Linked DNA regions of Bombyx mori. The protein of the gene in region 2 purifies or fractionates together with the protein of the main gene of each other region. This does not show direct contact. Links are inferred from orthologs where the notes say so. Each region holds a gene or a part of one and is shown on either strand. Other genes may lie near its edges.

The links.
Region 1: the proteins of ribosomal protein S6 kinase alpha-5 (region 2) and Msl3 purify together in Drosophila melanogaster (affinity purification with western blotting; 4 studies listed by BioGRID, with this or other methods). This does not show direct contact. The link is inferred for Bombyx mori from reciprocal best matches to the Drosophila melanogaster genes JIL-1 and msl-3.

The regions. Positions count from the first base shown.
Region 1 is NC_085113.1:6,781,173-6,785,596, forward strand, and holds the start of Msl3 (male-specific lethal 3), read right to left. Parts: upstream 2,901-4,424; 5' UTR 2,679-2,900; coding exon 2,577-2,678; intron 1,266-2,576; coding exon 1,087-1,265; intron 258-1,086; coding exon 130-257; intron 1-129. UniProt on the Drosophila melanogaster protein: Component of the male-specific lethal (MSL) histone acetyltransferase complex, a multiprotein complex essential for elevating transcription of the single X chromosome in the male (X chromosome dosage compensation).
Region 2 is NC_085130.1:7,262,073-7,266,613, reverse strand, and holds the start of ribosomal protein S6 kinase alpha-5, read right to left. Parts: upstream 2,976-4,541; 5' UTR 2,177-2,975; coding exon 1,531-2,176; intron 1-1,530. Other genes in the region: CCAAT/enhancer-binding protein zeta, read right to left, coding at 4,029-4,390. UniProt on the Drosophila melanogaster protein: Phosphorylates 'Ser-10' of histone H3. May regulate gene expression by establishing or maintaining the structure of more open chromatin regions. Also required for normal polytene chromosome structure, for oogenesis and for viability throughout development.

The DNA.
Region 1 (4,424 bases), on a different chromosome or scaffold from region 2:
ACAGTCTCCCTCCCCATAGCCGTTTTCCAATCAAATAATAGGTATACATATGTTGAGGTAGCAGACTCTCCGGAACGCTAATAACGATCGCTTCCCCCTAGGTGTGCTATAGATTATGGTTATATTTACCGTCTGGCTGGGTACTTGTCGAAGAGCCGTCGTCGCTAAAGCCATGACGGGTGCGCTTGGCGGGCCCCGCCCCGGCGGCGCTTGTACTACCACCCTTCTTTCGTTCCCGACGGTACAAGTAAGCCCCTCTAACAAAAAAAACCCCAATGTCGATAATACTGCGATGCAATTCTATAATTTTATTTCTATAGTTTTTCACAAAATAATAAAATCAAAGGTTTTTCATTACAATTACGCATTTTTTTGTTTGGAATATTCACTTTGCAAATCAGGATGCACAATGCGGATTTAATTTTTTTTATTGTTTTTTAATAAACAATAAATCCTAGATACAAATAAATTATACTTTTCATTACACACGCCATCATGTATTCGAATTATACGCTTAATATATGTCTAGGTACGTAGGTCTATAGGTATGTACTACGTGGCTAGGTTTCATGCGCAATAGCTAACGGGGATGTTTGCGTTGCCTAGGGCGTGGCTGTTGCAGACAATGAACTGCAGAAATTTTATACAATGTTCAAATGTTATGTATCGAAAATCGATTTTTTGTTGTTAAAACATAGATTGACATGAAATCGAGAAATAAGAATTGTTATAGGCCTAATTCTGATCGGAAAATATTTAATTAATTTTAAAAGGAATTTTAGTAGTTAAGACCTAAAATGCATAAGAATACAGTAAATTGTCTATAACGACTTATTAAACTTATTCATATTAAAGATTCATTGAAGTGTTACTAGCGACCCGCCCTCGCTTCGCTTCGGAAACTGTAATTTATTATTGATTTCTCCACTATCTAATGGATGCTATTATACACATAAACCTTCATCTTCAATCACTATCTATTAAAAAAAACCGCATCAAAATCCGTTGCGTAGTTTTAAAGATTTAAGCATACATAGGGACAGAGAAAGCGACTTTGTTTTATACTATGTAGTGATGAATACTTACAACTGAAGCTGTGATTTTTCAGCTAAATCACGTTGCAGCTGTCGATTTTCCTCTGTATCTTTGAGAACGAAGTCTTCACTGACACAGCGATCCCACGAAGAGTTCCATCCTTGGAAATGGATTAGATACTCAACAGTTCTACGCCCTCGTTTGTCTTTGCTCTCTACGACTTCAAGAACCTGTTTATTTATTGATATAATTAAATAGTATTTTACTTAGACACACTATAAATTCTTTGTTCAATACATTTTAACGGAAATTTCACTATTTTATTAATTTTTTTTCAATATGTTTTTTTACTGGTGGTAGGACCGCTTGTGAGTCCGCGCGGGTAGGTACCACCACCCGGTCTATTTCTGCCATGAAGCAGTAATGCGTTTCGGTTTGAAGGGTGGGGCAGCTGTTGTAACTATACTTGAGACCTTAGAACTTATATCTCAAAGTGAGTGGCACATTTACGTTTTATATGTCTAGGGCTCCAGTAACCACTTAACACCAGGTGGGTGTGAGCTTGTCCACTCATCAAAGCAAAAAAAAAAATACAGACATACTATAAATTCTTTGTTTGATACATTCTAATGGAAATTTCACTTTTTATTATAATATGTTTTCAAAATATATATTACTTGGATATAAATATTTTCAGTTTCAATACATATTATTATATTCATTAAAATGTTGATATGATTTGACTACACATGAGTTGTTGTACTTCCAATGTGCAGATAGGGTGTGGTCACGGTTTGCTTTGTTCGTGCAAATTCTTGAAATGAATATAAAGAATTCATTTCCTACTATATTTTTGCTCCAATTATAATGAGCAGATAGGTTTAGGTAGGATTTTGTTGTATTTTATAGAAAATTAAGATTGACGTTTGTAAAAAAAAAGCTCTATAATAGAAAATGTTAAAATTTTATAATTTTTCATTCAGTTTCTTTGTGATAATCAAGTTTAAGTGGTTTTTGAAAAAGTTACTAAATAATGTAGAGCATGTATCATTATATAGTAATATATTAATTTATTTAAGATTATACATCTCAAGTCTGGTCCAGGTGTGGCTATCAATAAAATAATATATTTTATGCAACTTTCTTTGCTTTTTAAAGCAATATTTGATTGGAATATTTTTTAAGTAACATGATGCCAAAAGCAAATGCATTATTTGGATTATGTTCTCATCAAAAATTTTAAAGCTAGCACTCTTATTTTTTTTTCCATATTATGTATATTTCTATTATTTGAATTGTAATTATATAACATTAATTATATACAAAGAAAGTTTTGGGTGTGGTCAACTTTTAAATGTTCTTTAGTAAAACAGATTCTGATTTTCACAAGTAAATGAAAGGATTTTTTTATATTTTTAAATTAAGGTTCTGCCTTAAGGTTTTACTTCATTTATTTAAAACATATATAGTTTTTTTACATATTGGTAGATTCCTCGTTTTTTGTTTAAAAAAAATATTATTTAAAAAAAGAAGTATTTTACCTTGGAATCATAAAGCACCTTGGCTTTAGTAGGGTCTGGCTCGTAGCACAGGACTCGTTCCCCCTCAGTGAATTTATATCGTAGCCCCCGTGTAGAGACCATTGTTAACTGATGCCTTGCCCAAAACTGATGGGAACTTAATAAAATCACTCCATTTAACAAATGCGATGGTTAAGTTTGTAAAATTTTAGTTAAAAACAAAAAAAAACAATGATCTGTAATAACCTAGCGATATTAACTGGTTGCGGACGTCCGAATGACTCCAGGTCGTGGTGTGCAATAGTAAGATCAGCGGTACAGTACTATTATTTTAGGTAGCGCGACACGCCCTGGACACGCCTTATATTTCTGAAAATAATTATTGTTTGGGCGTCGGCTGCTGCAGATATTTGTTTTGTTTGGTTTCTCTCAGCTGTCAGGATCTGTCAACGTCAAGTTAAAGCATTTAAACCTAAATAGTTCTTATCATAAAAGCATAAAGCTTACATTTCAAAATGACATGTTGATCGATTTCATTCTTGTTTCTCTATTTGATATTTGGAGAGGCAAAGAAATCTTAGATCATAATGCTTCAATGTAACTCTAAAACTCTATGGTTGAATGTACAAGATTATAGAGGTCAGCTTAATGTTTTCGGTCAGTTTCCGGGGATTTTAGAAGCTTTGTTTGGGAGTAGGCAGTGGGTCTCCCGATTAAGCTGTTAAGAAAATTGTTGATCGCAAAGTAGTACTACTTCAATAACGTTATTTTGTGGGGAGAATAACTAGTGAGAAATATCGAATGGATTTTACCTTTAACAAGAATACTCCATCAGTATTAAAATTGTAATTTGAAATACTAATGGCGGCTACAAAATCCATCTAGGTAGAACGATTTCAACCTATTTGGAGGAAATCGAAAAACACTATTATCTTCAATCGTACTTAACTACCAAAATATGTTATAATTAAGAGCCTGCGTTTTGTGATGCTTATCCTCAAGTTTTTTTGACCAGTCGTTAACTATTGAATCCGTTCGGCCATGGAATGTACTTCCTTTGTCGATCAAGATTGGCTCAGTATTAAAATTCTGTAAAGGGATGTTGAGAAAACATTACTTTTATGATTAGTTACCACAAAAAACGTCATAGAGCGTTTTTAAAAAGCGTTAAATCTGTATTTTTATAATATTCTTCTTATTTATAACTTCTTGTCATAAAATAGTTCTTATTACTTACATACTTTATAGTACATATTTATAACTGTACCTATGTCTTTTTATTTATTTATTTATTCATAAAATGCTGTATTTTAATTAATATTTTTCTATCTCATTCAGTCAATTAAGCATTTTAAATTGTTACATCGCAAGCTATCATTATTTCTTCTATGATTTTGTTCATCTTACGGTTGCCTGGAAGATTAATAGCGATAATGCGCACGTTGTATTTTCATGTTATGATATTTCTAAAATTTATTTTTAATGTTTTTACAAGAAAGCATAGTTTAATCTAAAACTCCGATAATTCGCTACGAAAAAAAAACGTTATTCTCTTTTATTATAAAATATTCTTTTATTATTTATATTCGGAGCCCATAAAAATCAAAGCGCACAGTTTGACACATGTGCTTGTGCATTTTCATTTATTGTAAATGCTCCTGTTTCAAAGGTGAAATGACGCATGACATGATTGCTTTGCAGCAGGATGGTTGTACTTATTCGTGCGGGGAGAAAAGGAAAATATTTTTTCTTATTCGACTACTATTTTTGGTAAATAGGTCTTTAGAATTTTTTAACAACGGAGGGGAGATTTTCCACCGAGCGGATAATGCTGCCCCGTAGACCGACGGTTCGAATGTTATTATTCGG
Region 2 (4,541 bases):
GAATGCGATACAATAACAACGTTATTTAGTTCCACGAAATAGAATAGGTTCAATATTGACGAGAAAACAATTCAAAAACAATAGAAGGAAGTTCCACAAAAGTTAAGAATGAGTCATAAAATAGCAGATGTTAAATTTGTAATTTGTTTTTTCATTTGTTCCTCCTAAATAATATAAATAAATAAAGGTCGACTGTCGCTTATAGAGGTATAGATAAGTAGCAGTCTCACTTACGGAGGTCCATGAGGGAAAAACGACTCTCTCTTACAGAGGTTTCTGTTTCTCTCTAATAGAGGTTTTGGGAGCTTAAAATGACGGGTCCTGGCTATTACTCTCACTTATAGAGTTTTCTCACTTATCCAGTTCTCGCTTACCCAGGTTTGACTGTATACGGAAACAGAGATGTTGCCTGTGTGTCGGTTTAAAATCTTTCTAATCGCTTAGATAATAGCGTGACTTGAGTAACTTCCCGGTAGTTATCAGCGGTGAAACTGCATTGCGAATCGGTGGCAAAGACCTAACTATTTGAAAGCGTGCCTAAAGGTTCACTTCAATAAGTCCTTGTATTTCATATTTAAAACCGGGATATGCAAGGCTTAATCTTAAAAGCGAGTAACTGCATCTGTCATGGGACGCACCAGAGAACTCAAATTGCGTCATGGTCATCAGTGTACAAGAAATTTTAATATCGTTTTTAAAACAGAAACTGAGCGTGATTTTTGCACGGCGAATTTCTGGCGCATATGCATGTCTGGAGACGTACATCAGCACGATACAGGTTTTTGCCGCTTTTTTCTACATAGATAAATACCGCTGCAAGATTCACAAATTTAGCATTTCGAAAACGATAACAAACTCGTTTCCTTTAAACTGGTATTCAAATCGTCTATCGTCGTCACTCCTACATAGTTTGAAAACTGCGATGCTTAAATAGTCCAGCTTTATAATTTGCCTATTGGGTCAACTGTTGACCTGTTGCCACATTTCTTCGAGGACGACTTATCTAGGTCCTCCGTATCGATTATATTGTCTCTATATAATTTAGTTCGTGTTTAAAACCAATGATTTAGGGTTTTATCGTGCGATATGTATTGTGCTTGAAACTGCCCGCCAATTCAAAAAACAAGGCTTAACTTTGTCTAGATTGCAACCTATTTGTCAATAACACCAAATGCGATAGATCCCATAGCCAATGCCTCTTTTTTAAGACGCTTTTATTAGCTTTATCGATATGTATGTATGTTTGTAGACGAAGGGCTCGACGAGTAAATTAACCCATAGACACAGCCCACTTAGTTTCTCGCCGGATTTTCTCAGTGGGTCGCGTTTCCGATCTGGTGGTAGATTCTGCGAGGTCTTGCCTTTGCTAGGGCAAGTCTTAGCAACATTCCCGGTATGAGCCCTGTGAGCTCACCTACTCACCAGGTTTCGCTGAGATAGCCTCTCGAGGCTATCAGCTTAGGTAGGAAAAAAGCTATTAGCAGTAAATTCAGGGGAAACCTTTTAAACAAACTACTTGATACTACTTACCATAGCCTATTTCGTGTCGCACGGTGTTCGCCTTCGTTATAACTGCAGTTTCTTTAAACGTCTCCTCATTTTTACATTCCGAGGCAATTTTAACGTCCTGTCGAGTGTCTTCGAAGTATTCATCGAATTTATTCTTATTAAAGAAGTCGAAGTCCACAACGGCCCTTCTCATGGTAGGGGTCGCGTTGTTTGCTCCGTCTATTTCGAATTGCAGCATTCTCGCCGGCGACATGCCATCGGTCATCGGCGAAGGTTTCACGAATACATCGTCCTCGTCCTTCTTAACTATCGATAGTTTGAGTAAGGTAGCTGCTTTACGAATGGTCTCGGTTGGGATTTTAGGTGTTTCTGAAATTGGCAGCAAAATTTCGGGCGTAATCTCATTGACCGGTGTGTTCATAGGTGTAGGAATGTTAAAGTCGGGCAATACGCTTGGTGTGTCGACCGAAGATCTAGCAGTATCTACGGACGTGACCCTCTCGCTCACTGTCACGTTTTCGCCGATTAAATGAAAGTTATCTAAGCCCATTCGAAACGTATCATCAGGCAAATCCAAGTTTTCTGTCGCAAACAATTGATTTGAACCTGCCGATAAGGGGCCTTGACCCTGCTCTGAGCTCATCGTCTCTACAATGGGCGACTCCATAATGCGATCGTAGATTTATATTTTAAAATATTAAATGAATTGAAGCAGTATAAAATACAACATTTGTCCTTGAAATTATCTCCCAATCGATAATCGCAAGAATTTCACATCACTTGCACGCACACATGCGCGTTACGTCTGTGTGCATCGGTGAGCTGTCAAACTAGTTTATGCAGTTTTTCCTTGTTCCATTCACAGAAAATTTCTAATTAGGATGCCTAGAACTCTGTTGTTACACTAAAAATCTTATTGGAATGATTAAAGATTCTACTAGAACAGCTGTAGAGACGAAAACATATGCAACACAACACAGGTTCGGCTATAAATAGATTAGTAATCGTCACTTGTGCACAGATAGCCCGCCTTTTTTTCCACAATAAAATCACTGGAAAAACAGTCCGTTATAACTAATACTTCACATAGATTCAACTAAAACGCGTTTCGGTCAAAGTTATTTTGCTTAAACACTGTGAAATTCGTTTATTTATTGGTTAAAACTGTTGGATACGGCGCGATGGCGCGCACGGCCGTAGCTACTCGGCGTAGTAATGTCAACAAACAAGCGCCACTTCGCTATGATCATGCGTAACATTTAAATTTATTAAGACTTCAATCGATGTTTTATTCAAAGATAAATATTTGTTGGAGTCGTAGTGCGTCGTATTTAGAATTATTGTTATTTATTTCTGAGATAGTTTCAAGATACGACAATGTTTGTGTAACTGTAGTATTAATAAATTTGGAATTTTACAGGAATGGAATTAAAAATTAATAAAAAATTACCAATAAAACACAGTTTTCTTGATCTGCATTTATTTATTTGAGTGCTAAATTAATCTGTTACGTGGTATTGTTTTGAACGTAGTGTTTTAAATTTTCAAGGTCATATCAATAGAGTGAAGTTAGCAGATGCGCGTCGAACCTCTTGTTGATATTATGGTTTCAACCTTGACCTTGCTTATAGCTATAATCCCACAGACCTATAATCGATAGAAGTTTTTCCAAGCGTAATGTGTATGTCGTTGAACATAATGAATTGTAACAAAATAGTTTTAAATGCGTTTTGTTCCAAAAACAAAATTTCTTTTGTGTAAAATCCAACCAATTTGAATGTGGTACTTAGATTATTATTAGAAAAAGATACTTCCGGACGCTTTTTGTGATTTTAAGAGACGTCTGTAAAAACTGATTCAGTAATCAATTCGGTATCAAATTGAAATGAAAAGAATATTCATTTGTCGAACCATAAATACTTGTTTAAATACCTACTACTATTTTATATTTTATAAAACTTCATTAGTGTATAATCTGTAAATGCAACGAGAATAAAGATGGCAGGTGTTCCCCGCGTATGTTTAAAATGACAGATCGCACACTTCAATCGATTGAAAGTGAAGATATTAAACATTTTCAGAACGTGTTTTGCAAAATTTTGCAGCTATATTTAGGATACAGGGATAAGTGATTAGACGAGATTATGAATGAAATACACCATTGAACTACCTATTAGATTTCACTCTTTTTAAATGCGCTTGGAAAGGAATACACTAAGCATTAGGTATTATAGATGTTTAGACAAGTCTATATTTAACGCCTGACTTAGTAACACATTCTTAGACGGTTTTAAAATCATATAGGCAAAACCATTTTAAAACCGCCACCATGCGATGACTTCTGTCATTAAACTCTTGTAAGGTGCTCACAGATATGCCATTTAAGTCGTATCATTTTATTTACGAGAATTTGGCTGCCGTAACGCTTAAAGTAATTTCAAGGATTGAATGATAATAAAAACAATAATAAAAAAAAAAACCATTTATTAGCTTTTTATTACGATGCAAAAAGACTAATACTATTTCATTCTTTTTTTCTTCCCACCAGGTCCGTTCGCCGTTCCGCCTTTGCGTTTTCCTTTACCCGCAAACTTATTCTCCTGCATTTTAATTTTCCCGCCAAAATTCTTAGCGGCCGTCTTCTTTCTGTCGGCCATTTTGTGTTTAAATTTCCCCCCGCTCTTATTGTTTCCCAAAATCTTTTTGTTGTATCCCTTGATCCAATTGTTTCTTTTATCTTCCCAGGCCAGTTGTTTTAAGCTCGAATTGTCCGTGTTGGAGACTGCTTGGCTCGAACCCTGCTTCTTGTTCGCGGCCGTGTCTTCTAATAGAGTTGAGAATTCTTCGGCTGACGCAAACAGAGAACTGAGATCATCTTTTCCTGTGAACATAAAATTGATATTTAAAAAAAAACCACCTACAATCGTCCTTTGGTTTATTGAGGGTAGAAGTAAGGACCATTTTGTATATGGGACAAGTTGAAAAAGTGTTCATCTGTAAACAACAAGTCATTGTTGGAAGACTCAAGATAG